2 linked regions of the Oreochromis niloticus genome follow. The protein of the gene in region 1 interacts with the protein of each later gene in a biochemical or structural test. Links are inferred from orthologs where the notes say so. Each region holds a gene or a part of one and is shown in the gene's direction. Other genes may lie near its edges.

The links.
Region 2: the proteins of rc3h2 (region 1) and klhl6 form a complex in vitro, tested with the Homo sapiens proteins (2 studies listed by BioGRID, with this or other methods). The link is inferred for Oreochromis niloticus from reciprocal best matches to the Homo sapiens genes RC3H2 and KLHL6.

Annotation. Positions count from the first base shown.
Region 1 is NC_031972.2:25,738,299-25,747,245, reverse strand, and holds the start of rc3h2 (roquin-2), read left to right. Parts: upstream 1-5,134; 5' UTR 5,135-5,630; intron 5,631-8,947. UniProt on the Homo sapiens protein: Post-transcriptional repressor of mRNAs containing a conserved stem loop motif, called constitutive decay element (CDE), which is often located in the 3'-UTR, as in HMGXB3, ICOS, IER3, NFKBID, NFKBIZ, PPP1R10, TNF and in many more mRNAs.
Region 2 is NC_031987.2:18,376,898-18,385,013, reverse strand, and holds the start of klhl6 (kelch-like protein 6), read left to right. Parts: upstream 1-4,125; 5' UTR 4,126-4,612; coding exon 4,613-4,869; intron 4,870-4,949; coding exon 4,950-5,115; intron 5,116-6,599; coding exon 6,600-7,049; intron 7,050-7,142; coding exon 7,143-7,380; intron 7,381-7,805; coding exon 7,806-8,008; intron 8,009-8,116. Other genes in the region: immunoglobulin superfamily member 3, read right to left, coding at 467-539. UniProt on the Homo sapiens protein: Involved in B-lymphocyte antigen receptor signaling and germinal center formation.

The DNA of each region.
Region 1 (8,947 bases):
AAAAGTATATACTGTTTAAAGAGCTTGGCTTTATAGTAGAAGAATTCAAGTGCTTAACTAACTGCTTGCTGTCCAAATCATTCATAAATTGAAAACATTTGTTGCATCACGAAACAAAAAATATGACAAAGAAGGCCCAGGACTGTCAAATAGCTAGAAGCCAGTTAGACAACAATGGGGCAGCATCTCTCTCCTAAAAGTTAATCAACTGGTTTCCTCAGTTCCCAAATGTTTATGGGCTGTTTTTAAAAAGAAGAAGGGGCTCTACACAGCAGTAAATATGACCCTCACTGTTTTGAGATGTGTCACTGCCATCAAATTCAAAATGTCCTTGCCTCTTAAAATGGCCCATTTTCTCAGTTTAAACATTATGATATGATATGTTTTCTGTATTATATTGTGAATAAAATATGGGTTTATGGAAAATGCGAATCATTGCATTCTGCTTTTTATTGCAACAAAATTATTCGATTGCAACAAACTGAAGAGCAAACTTGGAGCAAATAAAAGTCTTTACTGTTCTGAAAAACATGAGTAGAGTGAGCTCACAGAAAAGCAACTGCTTCACCATTTGACCCTCTAGAAATTGTGTACAGCTCACTGAGCATGACTCGGCAAGTGGGTTCTCCCGGTTGGCAGAGAGGGTTTCCATGCTCTCTCACTCCATCTCTTCCCTACACATGTCTGCTTTTATCCCTCAGCTATCCTTTTGGCCCAGAAATGTCATTGTCACTCATCTTGCTGAATGGAACACTAGCCAGTGGGCGCCTGAAATGCCACCGGCTCTGTGTGCAGACAAACAGTGAATGCATGGCTTTGGTGTAAATATTCAGTTTAGAAATTCATGCAAATGCGCGTTTGTGTGTGACCAAGGAAGAATGTACATAAATATAGCTGAAGATAAAATTAAGCAAGCATGGATCTACCTACTTGAACTTGCATAAAGTAGCTTAGTCAGAAAAAACATCAACATAAAGAAGTGATCTTGTGAGTTATAGTTGAAAAACAGAAAGCAAACATAAGGAAAACATCTTAAAGTCACTGAGAAGGGATCGAAATTCTCTTCAACAGCGACCAGTGTTGCCTCCATGAACTAGGTCAGAATACATACACGCACATGTGTTTGCACACACCACTGCACACATAAACAAAATCCATGTATGTAAGGTTTTTAGCACGTCCATTATGGATGAGATGCTAAGAGAGAAACAGCAGGGAGGATGAAGGCAACGAGGAAGATGGAAGAGTAGTGGTAGAGATATTGATGGAGAGTAATTATATTAAGGAAAAGTAGCTTCTTTGGTCTTATAATTAAAATTATACAGCATCCATATACACATACCCAAGACTGTCTCAGGAAAAGATGGTTTTCATATTCCTGTGCCCACATTATGACCAGATGTCAAGTTAAGCCACAAGGAAAGAGCAATAAAAAGCATCGAGGAAGCATCTAGCACTTTAGAATGACAATGGCAATGTTTACCATGTTAACTGTTTCAGCAGTTACTTACATACTTAGAAAATCTGTTGCAGACAACAGAAAAATATGAATTCTGGATATAATTCATCATCTGGGGATGATTTGGATATTTGTACCACGAAGAATTGGATGCAGATTCAACAGATGTCAAAACATTTCACAGCAAACTCAAAAATGTAAAACTCATGGAAACTCTAAAGGAAAAGCCAGAGGATCATGGAAACTGGATCTGGATTCCGTGTCCTGGAGACAATAAATGTTTGTTTATGTATTTGTTTATGGACCATCCCTAGAGTTAATAGGGTTGATTTTTGAATAGGCAAATATTATGAAACAAAACCCAGTGTTGGTTATTAACATGTAAAACACTAAAAGAGATGTGTGTATAGGGTTTATATCATACATATGTAGTATGTTGATGCAGTGATTGAAATTGTCAGGACAGTAGCCAAGAAAGTAGAGAAAGAGCAAGGGGGACTGACATGCAGAAAATAGTTGAACCCAGTGGCCTTTCAGCAGTGGGTCACCTGCCTAGTCAAGTAAGCTACTGTGTAGCAGCACCATGTGAATGGTGTACTTTGCACAAAAATACACCTTTAACAAAACTTTACCCTTTTTTAAAAGCTTCATATAAGTTTGAACAAACTTATATGAAGCTTTGTTTTCATGTAGTACTGAATAAGGTGGCATTGTGCTGTGACAGAGCTGGGGAGAAAGAGCCAAGAGGAAGAGATGGAATATTCACTGTATTCTGAGGTAGGATTATGGCTAAGTGCATTTGATTACGGCTTTATCAAAACTGACCTCACTGTGAACACAGTTTCATTACAGAGGAGCTGTTTTGTGTGTGTCAACAGAAAACTGGGAGAAATAAGTAAATATTGCTTTCATCAGACTTGGACTCGCCTCTGTGCTGCTCGGAGAGGAATGTGATATCGCATTTGTTATTTTACTGCAGAGACCAGCGAAGCGCATGCTGCTAGTTTTAATCATATTTGTCTGACAGACTCTAGTTTGTTCATGTAAACTATGTGTCTTTCTCACACATAAAAGTCTGTCATGCTTTGACTGACAGCTTTTAAGTTGTACTCGCTTCCCTTAAGTAATATTATTAAAGAACACTGCATACATTTTCATTTCTATGTCAGTGACACCAAACTTTATTTATACAATTGTGCCTTCTGTGGCTTCAAATGACGCAATTCAAATACATTTGTAGCTATAAAAGCTTTGATGTGAAATTTTGTACTTCTAATTTCAGTTTTGAACCTAAATCTCAAAAATATTTTGTATTATAAGATACTTATTCTTGCCTCCAGCAACACTGTGAGGAATTTTTGACCAAGATATGTCCTTTAACTCATCCATTACACAAATATTCAGGTACCTTCCTTCATCTGCGCAATATCACTAAAATTATAACCATCCTGTTTGTGATGCTGGAAAACTGGTCCATGCATTTGTTACCTCTGCTGGACTACTGTAAGTTATTATCAGGCTGTTTTGAAAGCTTTCTAAAAAGCCTTCAGTTGATCCAAAATGCCACAGTGAGATTACTAACAGAGACTTGTGAGAGAGATCATATTTCTTCTTTATTAGGTTATCTTTATTGGCTCCCTGTTAAATTCAGAATTGAATTAGAAAAGAAACCTTCTCACAAACAAAGTCTTGAGTGAAATCCTAGTAACATATTATCCCAACAGAGCTCTTCACTCTCATACTACAGACTTACTTGTGGTTCCTAAAGTTTCTAAATGCAGAATGAGAAGCAGAGCCTTCAGCTATCACCCTGTACTATGAAACCAGCTCCCCCTTGGGTTCAGGACACAGACATACTCTCTACTTTTAAAACTTTCCTTTTTGATAAATTGTGTAGTTATGATTGGATCAGGTGACACAGATGCCATTATTACATATTATGAATGGTTGTCTTCTTTATTGTTGCTCTGTGGTTACCCCTACAAAAGTCTGATTCCGCCTGCAGTGGCCTCCTGTTGAAAGGGAGTTCTTCCTCCACACTGCCCCCAAGTGGTTGCTCACAGGGGTTTTTCTCTAATTCTGTAGGATCCTTACCTTACAGTATGATGAACTCTGAGATGGCCTTTTCTCTGAACTGGTGCTATACAAATAAGGTTAATTGGCAACAAGTCAGTAACATGACCGAAGGGTGGCTGGCCCTTCTCTTAGAAATAGCATGAGGAGTTGAGTCATTAGCAAAGGGCAAAAAGTAGACCCCTTCTCCTTTACATTGAAGGGCCACTTGAGATGGTTTAGGCATCTGACTACGATGCCCCCTGGGCACCTCCTGGGTGAGGTGTTGCAGACATGTCCCACTGTGTGGAAGCCCCATGGCAGACCCATGACATGCTGGAGAGATTACATCTCTCAACTGGCCTGGAGACACACTCAATGTTCCCCCCTGATAGTCCACAGGTGGATGGATATAAAGCTATTTTTTATTTTACCTTTCATTTTCTGAAGCCTTTGTGGTCATACAAAGTCCTGCAAATCTCAAAATAAAAAAAAACAGCTGAATTTTATCTTCTTATAGTTGAAAGAACCCTAATTCAGACTTAAACTGGAGAATACATTCAAAACTATCATGTTACTATTATCCTGAAAACTGTGGCAGTTTAGTACTGTTTGTTTTATTACGGTTCAAATTGAATGCAAGGTGTTAAACATTATGTTGTACCTTTACTTTGGTTTATATAAAAATAATATTGTTCAAGGTAGAGTTTTGCAGGTCCAAAGAAGTCTTTGAGGAAACATCCTTAGCCTCAGTGCACCACTTATATTGTTAGACATCAAACATGTAACACATGCTGGAAAGATTTTTGCTTTTCATAACGGCGTGATTGTAATATTTACTGTAAAAGGTTTCAGCTTACAGAAATTCGTACATCAAGGGCTTTTGGGGCACAAGAAGAAAATTTGATTCTATATGTAAGATAACATGTTTACAGCTCAAAATGTGTTTTGGAACAGATTTAGCCTTCCAGTATGAATCATAATGAGTAGGCTCACGTCTCCTGCAGTGAACAGCAGCTCACTGAGGGAAAAGCCTGAGTTATTACAAAAGTGTGATTCAGATATAAAAAATGACAATAATGTGAAAGCGTGCAAATTTCGACTAAAAATCAAGGCTAAACTCATTGAAGATCAGGATTACAGTCATAATGACTTTAGTCACTAATAACCTGTTTTACTGGTCACTAAAGTCCGTAAATGCGCTCACACATGCCTGCTACTTCGTAAACAGCAAAATTATAAAATGAATGTAAAATGAATGGATCATTAAATATATACGTAATATATATAATAATATATAAATGTATTCACCTAGACCTACTCCAGATATTATCCAAATGTCTAAGAGAAGCTTTTCAGCATTGTTAAACACGGCTGTGGGCTTGAAAGCATTTCATACAGTGGTAAAGGCAATTAAGTTTAAGCACGCATTTTTCCGCTACTCCACAGCTTCGAACATGGTTGCAACAGCAAGCGGGAACTGCTTGTGTTTTCGTGTGTGAACTTCCTCTTCGCAGACGCACTTGTCGATGCGCATCCTCTACCCTGCTACTCGGTCTGTTCCTTTAAAAGCTCACAGCCCACGCCTCGAAAAGCGGCTTGTTCCGGCTTGCCCCTTTACATCTTTTTATCCTTGCTCACAACATTAAACTAGTGCCATCCTCATCACATCGCTCCCCTGACCCTTACGCACCAGCCTTTGAAGCCGAACCGCGGTGCAGTTAGTAAATCGTATCTGGGGAGGAGCGTGGCCCTGTCTGTCCGTGCAGCTCGGTGCTGAGTCCGATGATGAGGGCCAGTTCGGGAACCATCAGTGGCGGAGCAATACCACCATCTCCTAGTTTCAGCTTCGGTTTGTCAAGCAGAGGGCGTGTGGCTCACCGTACCTGAGAGGAGCGAGCGTCTCTTGTCACGTATTCTGCGAAAGGGGGGCAGAGGATTAAAAGCGGACCAAGGCACCTGTCTCTACTGCTCTGGGATGCCGTGCCGTGTCAGTGTCGCATTAAAAATAATGTTTCCCCTGTGCTTGTTTTGCAACTGATGAAGAATAATTTTGAAGGCATGTTCACGTGGATGGCTATGAATATGTTTATTCCGGTGTTCTGGTGTAACGCGTGAGGTAAGTGACTTATCCAGAGGTGCGCGCTACTTTCTCCCGCTGCTCAGTTTTTCTGCAATGCCTTTGACATCTCGGGGTTGTTTACATGTTTTTGTTTAGCTTTTTTATTCCCCATTCGTTTGCAAATAAGAGCTTGTATCGTGGCTCATGATCTAAAAAAAACCAAACAAACAATGTCTATAGTAACCATCATGCTCCTAGCGCATTAATTTCTGGAATTGGCACTGGTGTTATATTAAAAGAAGGTGGGCTGTAGTTGAAATGAAGTGACAGCACTTAAGTGAGCTGGGAATACAAACGAGGGGCTTTTCTGGAAAGAGTTGAGGCACTCAGTGGCAATATGTGAAGCGATATGAAAGTAGATGTGCTGCTGTAATGGTGGAGACTGCTTAATGTTGGCTCTAGTGCGCGGAGATCGCTTCCAAGCCAATGTGAAATTTATGGAGTAACATCGCTGTTGCTGAGAGAGTGACTTCTTGAGCCGTAGCAGAGCAGCTTCCAAGTTCAGGTGTTGCATATTATTTACCGCCGCTGTCATCGTAAAGTTTAAGCATGCAGCATGGCCGCCCTGCAGGGAAGGTTACTGTATAACCTGCTGATTTGCAACTGGAAGCAACCTCGTGTTCTAACATTATTAACCAAAGGTGCAGCAGCCCTCCCTCCACTTTGCTGCAGACACAAATCACAGGCCAAGTGAAAAAGACTATGGTGCAGTGTGTATATATGCTGTATAAAACAACCAGCAGCAGCTTTGTGAGATGTATGAGTGCCCTGCCTCCCATGCAGACACTACCCCCACACACTGTGATGACAGACGTAATGAATAAATAATCACACAAGCCCACATACCCCTACAGTACACTGAAAAAACAAGTGACATGACATGGTGAAACAAGTGATATGAAATGTAATAAACTCACGACAGGGTTATTTTGGCAGTGTTATGGCCAAGAGTTGCGAAGCTATGACAAGATTTAAAACGAGATGTGTGGTAATTCCAGTGTATTGGTGCGACTTTATGTTATGGTTTTATATCGCAACCTCGAAGTGCATCAGCGTCCTGTGCTCCCTGCGCAGCAGATTGGATTTTCTGTGCCCTTTGAGAGTCTTGCAAACAATTACCTGGCGCCATCATTTCTCAGTGTTAAAGTCTAACTTTCCCTTCATCCTTTATCTGCTGCTGACTGTCATTTGCATTTATTGTTTCCACTTTACAGCACAGAGGTGCTGCTACCTACTCAAATAGAAAGTTTTCATTCATATAAAAACTGTCACTGTGAAGTGAGGTTTTCCGATTTGCGATTTTGAAGTATCCATTAAACTTTAAAATGTAAACACTGAGAGATGTTATTAAAATGTTATTGGCAGCAGTGTGGTGGGCGTAAAGTTTCAGCCTTGTTGTGCTTCGATGTTCCCACGAGGCTATGGAAACGAGTGGATGGTAAAATTATGGCTGTGATATTTGTGAGGTTGAATTTAACAGGTCATTGGCACATTGGCGAAAAGTGTTAAAAGTCACGAGTATTTAGAAATATTTCAGCCTTTTTTCATATACTGTGTGGACATATTTCAGAGGCATTAAATATGAATAAACTAGAGCTGTGATGTGTTCATTACTGTGTTCATTGCTTTGTAGTGATGTTTTTCTTGAGTGTTGAGGTCTATATCTGCTTATCTAGCACTAATGTGGTAAAAGCATGTGGGTTATGTGCATATTGCTGCACCTATTATAGACTCACAGTATCTGGAATGCTCTTGAGAAGGGGCTAGCGGACCTCAAATTACTCTAAATTCCTCTGGTTTAGGTTCAACTCAGCCTCTAAAGCTTTGTGAGTAATGTTTGCTTGCCCATGAATCCTTAAGGATCCCATTCAGTGTATCTATGTTAGTACATGTGTAATAAAAATGGTCTTAGAGTAACAGGAGCATGAGTCCAAGAAAGAATAAATGCCTTTATCAGCCACATACAGTATAGACCTCTTATGGTGTCAAGCCACGGACCTCTCACTTGTAGTTTTGTTTTTTGGGTTTTTTTTATTTTACCTTGATTTTATAGTTTAGAATAGACGTGGGACAAAATACTGATATAGCAATATGTATCGTACCACTTACTCTTGCCAGATACTCTACTGATATTTAAAACATGTGGGATTAAAACGTGATTTCCTGCCAAGTAAATTACGTTTCGGTGGAAAAAGTAGGGGAACCCAACAACTCCCCCACCCACCCAACTCCACTTTATTGTAAAACTCTTGAAAGCATTAATATGTTTTGCGAGAATGTCCTTGGCCTTCATAAGCAGCATTAACTAAGCATGTTTTTCAATGGCAGGAGGAACCGGAGGTCCCAGAGGAAACCGTGTACAGAGAAAACATGCAAACTCCACACAAAAAAAAGGCGTTGGGTTTTGAACCTGTGACCTTGAGCGACTGTGGTGCCTTATTCAGTAGCAGTCATAATACACACTGACACTAACACCACAGCACAGCGTATCAATACATAATTAGTGCTTTGTGCCTCTTCTGTGTTTTTTTCTTCTTTTCTGTTTACACAGATGTTGTGATGAATCACAGGGGGGGTCTTGTCATGCTGGTATTGTATTGTGAAGCCTCGATACAGGAAATGTGGATTGACAATAAAAGGGAATGTCAGGCATCCAAATACATTACGTCAGAATTTGGCTTAGAGACAGTACAGTTATCTGTGTGTCTGAACATCTTGGACTGCAAAGCCACAAGGAGGCCCTAAACTTGTAGCTGTCACAGCCAATTTAAGATTGCATTTTCTAAGCACTACATAACTGCTTTCCTATTTCACTTTTACTGTGCGATGTTGGCCTTAAAATTGTTTAGAAATACTAATATAAATATTCATACACAGAAGTGTATGAAGAAGTAGTGCTGCCCCTGAAGGGTCTCTCTGCAGATACTGGGGGTGGAATAGAGGTAACTGTGCCACATCGCTCCGCTGGGCCGACAGAAATACTTAAGCGGGAGTCAGAGTTAAAACATCATGACCCAACACATTCAGGAATCGCTGGCGGCAACAGACGCACACGTAAGGTGTAAGGCCCGCATATCAAAATTCGCCCATCCATTGTTACTACATGCCCGTTAGCTCTCACTCCAGCTATGACCTAATCCTGGTAGCTAGTGGGTGTGTTCTGCTTGGACTGAAGTCTCATTGGCTGTCTGCTGCATGCTCCTTACTTCCGCTATTCCTTTCAAATGTGCTGCCATTTTCAGTAGCAGAACTTAGGTTTCAGTTTGTAGCGAAAACCTGTAACTGTAACAAGGACTTGAGCTTTTGTGCCACTG
Region 2 (8,116 bases), on another chromosome or scaffold:
AACTGGGAAATACGAGGAAACATGGAACCTGAACGACAGGAGGGTGGCTGAGGAAACACTCAGACTAGGGGGGAGACTGAGATAATATGTACACAAATGATGCAAATGATGCATGAAAATAATCTGGAGCTAATTTGCTTTCGTGTAGCAATTAAACTGATATTAAATATAGAGACACCAAAGGAGATGAACCAGTCAGTTTAATCTCGGAGCTTTTTTTTTTTTTTTTTTTTTTTTAAACGATGCAAACAACACAGACAATATTTTAGCTTTACCAAAGACGATGAGCTTAACATGCATATGTATTGATGGTAATTATATATTATTATTCTATTCAAAATGGACATGCAGTGTGTTCTTACCACCTGCTAACTTTAACACAGTTAATATTCTGACATCTCCAGTGAATCCTCGAGGTCACTGACTAGAATCCACTGCAGCTAAAGGAAACCAGTGTACCACTTACCACAACGCAAAAGCTGACCCAGGCAGAGAATCAAACTGGACCTCCAAACGGAGAGCAGGAAACAACTCATCATGAACCTTCAGCTTTCAGGCTCAGCACTTTACGTCCTCGGCATAGCCTCTGTGATCAAGCTCTTAGTCTGTGTGAAAATCTGCCTGTGTCTTTTCACACTTGTTAAAGTGGTTTATGTTTCCTGTCGGTGACCTAGAGCAAGAGGAAGTCTGAGATATTTCCTGCATACTCTACATTATTCATGACTTCTGTGTATGTGTACAGGTGGATTGGTGGAGATCAGTAACATCGCTCGTTTTTTTTCCATCCTCGATCGAAACATTGGATGGTTACACGCGTGGTTAGACAACCTTAAGCTGAGCGGGCTCATAAGTAGGGCACCAAACAGTTCATTATGTTCATTTCTATGTAGCGGTTTCAGTGGGAGAAACGTTTCGTCACTCACCCAAGTGACTTCTTCAGTCTCAACTTTTGCATAATGACTGAAACTTGGTGCTAGTTTCAGTCATTGTGCAGAGATGCTGTTTAAAAGGTTGGGGGGGAAACCTGCAGTCAGCTGCGACTGAGATGATACTTCCAGATGAACGGAATAAACTTTTTGGGAAAACATATGTAACTTTTCGATTATTCATCGACTTCCTTTAAAATATGGTTGCATAGCATGATCATATTGTTGCATAGGCAGCTTGTGAGATAACGTGGTTGCGGTCAAATTGTGTTGCGTAGAAATGGCCCTTTAACCATCCCCATCTGAGTTTGACCCAGTTTTTGCAAACAGTGATAATTTGAATGCATTTGTTTGAACGATCCTGTAGATTAATGACGCAATATTGCCATCTGGTGGAGACCAGAAAGACGTACAGTTCTACACAGTCAAATCAGCGTTTCAACATTTAGACTGTTTAAACATGGTGGAAAACGTTTGATATAATAGAGACAAGCTAAGAAAGAGAAGGGGTAAACATTTTATCGAGTTCATACAAACAAGAAAATTTAATGATGTATGCAGAAGAAATACAGGATTTAAGAAGCCCATAAGTGATATTTCAATCCAGAATGACTATTATGAATTCAAAAACAGTGGGGGAAAAATGATGCCATGATGTAGCTTATTAATAACTAATAAAGTCTCAGTATTTTGTTATAATCTACACTCATCCATCACTTTGTTAGGTGCATTACTGTGCATAAGTTTTAAAACACCCCTCATTTCTTTAACAACATCCCAAAGTGGCCAATATTATGCTGATGGTTGTTATGGTATATACTGGAAAATGACAGATAGGTGCAGCAAGGTATTCATATGCAAAGATAAATGGTAATATGGTATTTAAGGAGCTAGAAAATCCATATTTGGTATGATCATCTTCGACACTCTCTACAAGGCAAGTTGTCCTTGGGAATAGTTCTCCGGGCTTCTTATAGAACATTTAGTTCCCTTTTTGGGATGTCGGCTGCCTTTTTTCTCCATTCTGTATCAAGATGATCCCACACTGCTTTGGTAATGTACAGGTCTGGGCTTTGGGGAGGCCAGTCCATGACTTTTACTGCATTGACAGTGAACTTTTTGTTCATAATTCCATCAATTTTGACAAGATTCCCAACACCACTGGCTGAAATTCTGCCCCAAGCACTCCACAATGTTTTACAGATGTGTGTAATGACACATGTATAACACTTACTGCTGTACAGCTTTTAACCAAAAAGTTCAAATTTGGAGTCATCACTCTATATGACATGTTGCAACTGATTTTCAGTTCAGCAGTTCAGTTCTTGTGTAATTTGATATATCTCAGCCTTTTTTCCCCGTTTCCTTTCCTTGAGAATTGCTTCTTGACATCCACCCTTCAAAGATACCATTTCTGATGGTGCTTCAATGAACAGTAGATGGATCAGATGAAGGGCCAGATGCATTTTTCAGGTTTTGTGTCAGGTCCTTCAGGTCCTCACCCCTGGACTCTTTTCTTGTTAGGATATGATCTTCAAATAAGGTTCATTTGTGTCATAAGTTTTGGTCTTGTCCAGTTCTCCCTAAAAGTTTTAAAGACACACTACACAATATGGTGAGATATGGTATGTTTTGGGGGTATCTCTTTTAGAATCACTTTGTTGGTGCAAAAACAAAATTTTATGCCTGTTAAAAGATGTTGTCTTCAACTAAAACAAATGGGGACAAATAAAGCATTGCTGTGTAGACACAACACTGATTGAAGTTCCTTTTTTTAATGCTTCAGTGATTCATTGAAGTCAAGTGGCTCAACAAACTTGTCAGAATTGCTCTGAAAATGGTCAGATACAAAGACTGGACTAAAAATGAGTGGAAAAACATCAACATGTCAAAAAAAGGAGAAAAAAAACTTTTAAAGACCTGAAGAAGGACTATATAACTATTGCTTAAGAATACTTGAACAAACAAACAAACTATCAACAAACCAAACAAATCAGAATGAGAAATAATATGATTTGAGTAGCTTTGAACATGGCATGGGTTATAGTGTTTCAGAAACTGCTAATCTGTTGGGATTTTGTCACGAAACCATCTCTAGCATTTACAAAGAATGGTCAGAAAAAGAGAAGAGATCCAGTGAGACATCAATCATGCATTTTTTGTGTGCGAAAATGTCTTTTTTGATGGCAGAGGTCAGAGGAAAATGTCAGACCTGTTTTGAACTGACAGGAGCAATTCGTTACAACCAAAGTAAGCATAAGAGCAACTTGAACGCATAACATGTCAAACGTGTCAAGGTTGCACTTCTGTCAGTGAAGAACAGGAAACTGAGTCTACAGTTTACACAGACTGAAGATGGTGAAAAAATGTTGTCTGGTCTGATGAGTCTGCTGGTAGGGTTAGAATCTGGCATAAACAACATGAAAAGATGGGTCTATCCTACCTTGTATCAACGGTTTACACTGCTGGAGGTGCGATGATGCAGGAGAGATTTTCTTGGGACAGTTTGGCCCCTTTACTACCAAATGAACATCATTTAAATGTCGCAGCCTACCTGAGTATTGCTGCTGAACATGTCCATACCTTCATGACCACAATGTGACCATCTTGTGATAGCTGCTTCTAACATGATAGTGCCATCATGTCAGTATGGACCAAAATTTCTGATGAATGTTTCCAGCACCTTGTTGAATCTACAAGAAGAATCAAGGTAGTTATGAAGGCAGAAAGGAGGTCCAACCCAGAATGAGCAAAATGCATCTAATAGAGCTGCCAGTGAGTTTATCTTACTACTTTGCATTTGAATGACTGCACAATACTAAAATACATGTGATGTATATTGGAGGGCAGAGTGCTGCCTTTTTGTTGTCAATACTAATTAAGGACAAAAACAAAAAACAATGTGTTTTTTTTGTTTTGTTTTTCGGCTTTTTGCTGGGTTTACTTGGACACTTTTACCGTCTCCGGCTTCTAAATCTGGTAAAATGTCACAATCTAAGGCTCCTCTTCTGATGAATCACAAACTTGCACAACCACAGAGTTCTTAAGACGAGCATACGTCAAAATGGTCGTGAATGAATGCCTCTAGGGGTTTGAGGGACTTTCTCATGTATGGGAAGACAAGCACGTCATCTTTCATGTTTCCCACCGTGATACAACCTGCTGGTTTAGATAGAAAGGTAGCCCTCTAGTTAAACTTGGACTTACGGCGCCAGTGTGATGGCGCGATGCAAGAAAACTCAAGATGAGGAGTTCACAGGAGCGTTACGCTTATGTTTGAGATTAAATACTTTTATCCCAACTAGGTTAAGCTGCTGAGCAGACGTCTTTTTCTTTTTTCTTTTTTCTTTGCAGTCATCTTTTTCATCGAAGAGACCTCCCATCATTGTCTGTGATAAAAAAACAAAGAAAGGCAAAAAACTGTCTAGCTTAGAGAGAAATTTACTCAGCTGAAGACGAAGGGGAAGTGTTATGCATACGCATGTCCCTTACAGAACAGGAATAGGAAGTATGAAGAAGACAGGAAAAAACACAAATCCACTTCTCAAAGCAAAAGAACTGCTGCAAGCGTAAACCACAAATGCTTGTGCACTTTCTATGTAGGCTACGTGTGCAGGTGTTTCTGAAGGTGGCTGTATGCTGCTCTTCTGCAGAAAGGGAGTTTTGAAGCTCTGCTGGTGTGAAAGATGAGTGACTCACTGGAGAGGACTACAGACTGTCCTTTGCCGCTTCTCGCTGAGGAGTCCAGCGTGAACGAGGAGAAAGGGAATGTAACAGGACCAAGTGAGTTACGTTGGGAAGATGGAGGTCTGCCCATGGAGCTCCAGAAAGGGATGGAAACCCTACGAGTGAACAGAGAATTGACTGATGTGACACTGCGCGTTCAGGGTCATGACTTTGCTTGCCATAGAGCGATTCTGGCGGCTGCAAGTCACTACTTCAGGTAAATCATCATCTGGTCTTAAGTGTGTCGTGATCTCGGGCCTACTTGTTTTACTCACAAATTATGGCTGGTCTCTACAGGGCAATGTTTTGCAGCGGTCTCAAGGAGAGTCATGAGGAACGTGTGGAAATGAAAGGGTTGGACAGCGGGACAATGCACTGTCTCTTGGAGTATACCTACACCAGCCGAGCTCTCCTCACACACTCGAATGTCCAGAGAATACTCGAGGCTGCCAGTCAGTTTCAGGTAAAGCAGCTTAACTGATCTTTGTTGCTCAATCAGGGGTTTTTTTTGCAAAATCATTGTATGCAACATGTTGTTGTTGGTTTTTTTTTTTGCCAGGTCATTGACACTTTTTAACACCAAATGTAAAGATGTAGTGAAATCAAACAGCAGAGGCAAAAAAGTTCTACAAATCTTTGAGGTGTGAATTTAGACTTTAAAGACCAAGTGAATCATTTTTTACAAAGAAATTTGACCTTAACATGTTTTTCACATAAAGGCAGCACAGCTTGAATTTAAGTCCATAAAATAAATCAACCATAAAGTTTATAATTAATCTGACTGAAAGTTTGTTTCATTTGAGTTTAACTTGAAAAAGGTTTTTGGCAGCATATGATCTCTTTCACCTAATTTTTAAACCATCAACACCGTCGGTTTATACGATCTTTTTTATATCTGTTACATTTTAACCACCTGCATGTAAAGTCAGTTGGAACAAATAGGCCATCAAAGGAATGGTGACGCCTCGTGCTGAATTAGCAGCAGAAAGCAAACCACTTATTTCTAATTGGGATGATGGATTTGGTGTTGTGATGTGGAACTGTAATTAAATTTTTGAAACTGCTATCAGGTTCTTACTTCAGTTTTTTCCTCGCATAAAGGGAACAAACATGTGATTGGATGAGAAATTGGTTTTGCTAAGAGGGAAGTGAAAGTTGGTCAGTTGTTTACACTCAGGATCATTTTTCCATAAGGGCTTAAATTAACTACACAGCTGTGCCACACTGCACAGGAGGCAGGTGTTTGTGTTTGTGTGCTTCTATTTTTGCAAAAACACTTCGGGTGTTAAATTTTGATGATAATTACTTAAGGCACTCTTGCTGGATTTTCAGTGTAACTAAGAAGCAAGGTTAAGATCACATTAAGAGTTAGGGCTAAGATTATCATATGAGGCTAAATTTTATTTTATTTTATATCTTTAAAAAAGCTAATCAGGTATCTCATTTTATACTGGCTTTGTGAGAGAGCTTTGTAAATGCTTTTGCTGCAAGTAATAGATAAAAATATCCACAGTGATTCTGTTGAAATTCAAACGCAGGTTTTCAAAAGCTTATATAAATTCAGGCTAAGGCAGTTAGATAAGCAAAGTGGGTTCCGGGGAAAACTGTGGGCCTCTTTAGTCCAAAATTCTATTATTGTCCACTGATGGATTGTTTTCTTGCTGCAAATAAGAAAACAGTTGTTTGGTCTGATGCTCACAGACGTCTGAGGACTCACTGCATACAAATTATTGACTGTGTTATACTTTAGAAGGCATTTTTTTGCAGAAAAAGTCCCCTATCGCTTGCAATGGAAGTGCACTGGGACAGAATTGATTTACAGCCAGTTTACCAACAAGCAAATTCTAAGCCCTTAAAATTCAACTATAGCCATAATTGCCAATTTGGAGCAGCTTAATCAGCTACAAATAGCTTTAACCCATGCCTTTATTCTTTTTGTCTCTTTAGTTCCTGCGTGTGGTAGATGCGTGCTCTAGCTTTCTCAGCAAGTCTATGCAGCTAGACACCTGTATTGGCATCCTAAATCTGGCTGACAGACATGCCCTGTCAGCCCTGCGCTCCAGAGCTCAGGACTATATTACTACTCAATTCTCTCAAGTGGTCCAGCAGCAGGACTTCCTGGAGCTGCCAATGGAATCTCTGGAGACTGTCCTGCAGAGGGATGACCTGGATGTGAAGTGTGAGGAGTGTGTTTTTGAAGCACTCATGCACTGGGTGAGAGCCCGGCAGGATGAACGCTATCCCTTACTGGCCAGGTTGCTTACGCACGTACGATTGCCGCTGCTGGAGCCGGCATACTTTGTTGAGAAAGTGGAGTCAGATGAGCTGATACGACGGTGCAGCGAGGCTTTTCCTTTGTTGCAAGAGGCCCGCATTTATCATCTCTCTGGCAGGGAGGTCAGTATAAACCGCTGGGCATATTGTGTTTATTGTTGTTAATAATTGTTTGTCTCATGTCCAAGTTTCATATATGTTTGACCTTTTTTGCAGGTGGTCTCAGAACGAACCAAACCACGTGTGCAGCACTTTCTGTCAGAAGTATTCTTGATCATTGGAGGCTGCACCAAAGACGAACGCTTCATTTCCACTGTCACATGTTTGGACCCTCTCAGACGCAGCCGACTGGAGGTCGCCAGGATGCCATTGACAGAATTAGAGGATGAGTCCCAAAATAGAAAATGGGTGGAATTTGCTTGTATCACTTTCCACAATGAAGTATACATATCTGGTGAGTGAACATATTCTTTTTTCATAGAAAGGCTTCACTTGTGAAATTGTTCTGATGATTGCTCCTTGTTGTTATTACCCGTGAAGTGTGCACTTCACTGGTATTCAAATGTAATGAGAATTTAGGAATTTATAGTATGAACAAAACAAAACAACAGGAAGTCGTGACATTATTTCTGCACTAACAGTTGCTGTGGTTTTAGGTGTTTCCCAACGCAGGAACTGACAGTTCTAGTTAAGTGGAACACGCAGACTGTAAATGCTATGACTAGCACGCAGGATTTCTACATCTTTAAACAGCATGATAACTTAGTGCAGAGTCCCAACACAGTTATTACTAAAGACGGGTCATATGTCAGTATTTTGGAATGAAAGCAATATTTGTACAGATAATCACATTTTTCTTTAATGGTCTTGTTGCTGTAGGAGGTAAGGAGACACAGCATGATGTCTGGAAATACAATGGTGCCCTGGACAAGTGGATCCAAATCGAGCCCCTGTCGACTGGGCGCTGGAGACACAAGATGGCAGTTCATTGTGGGAAAGTGTACGCACTGGGAGGGTTTGATGGAGTTCAGAGGCTTTCTAGTGTTGAGGCCTATGATCCTTTTCATAATCGCTGGATGCAGGTAAACACAGTTTCTCAAAGTGGCAAAATTTTCATATTAACTACAACTGTATATATGTGAAGGGTATTGTTTGTAGTTCCTAATAAAAAGTAAGCAAAAGGGAATTAC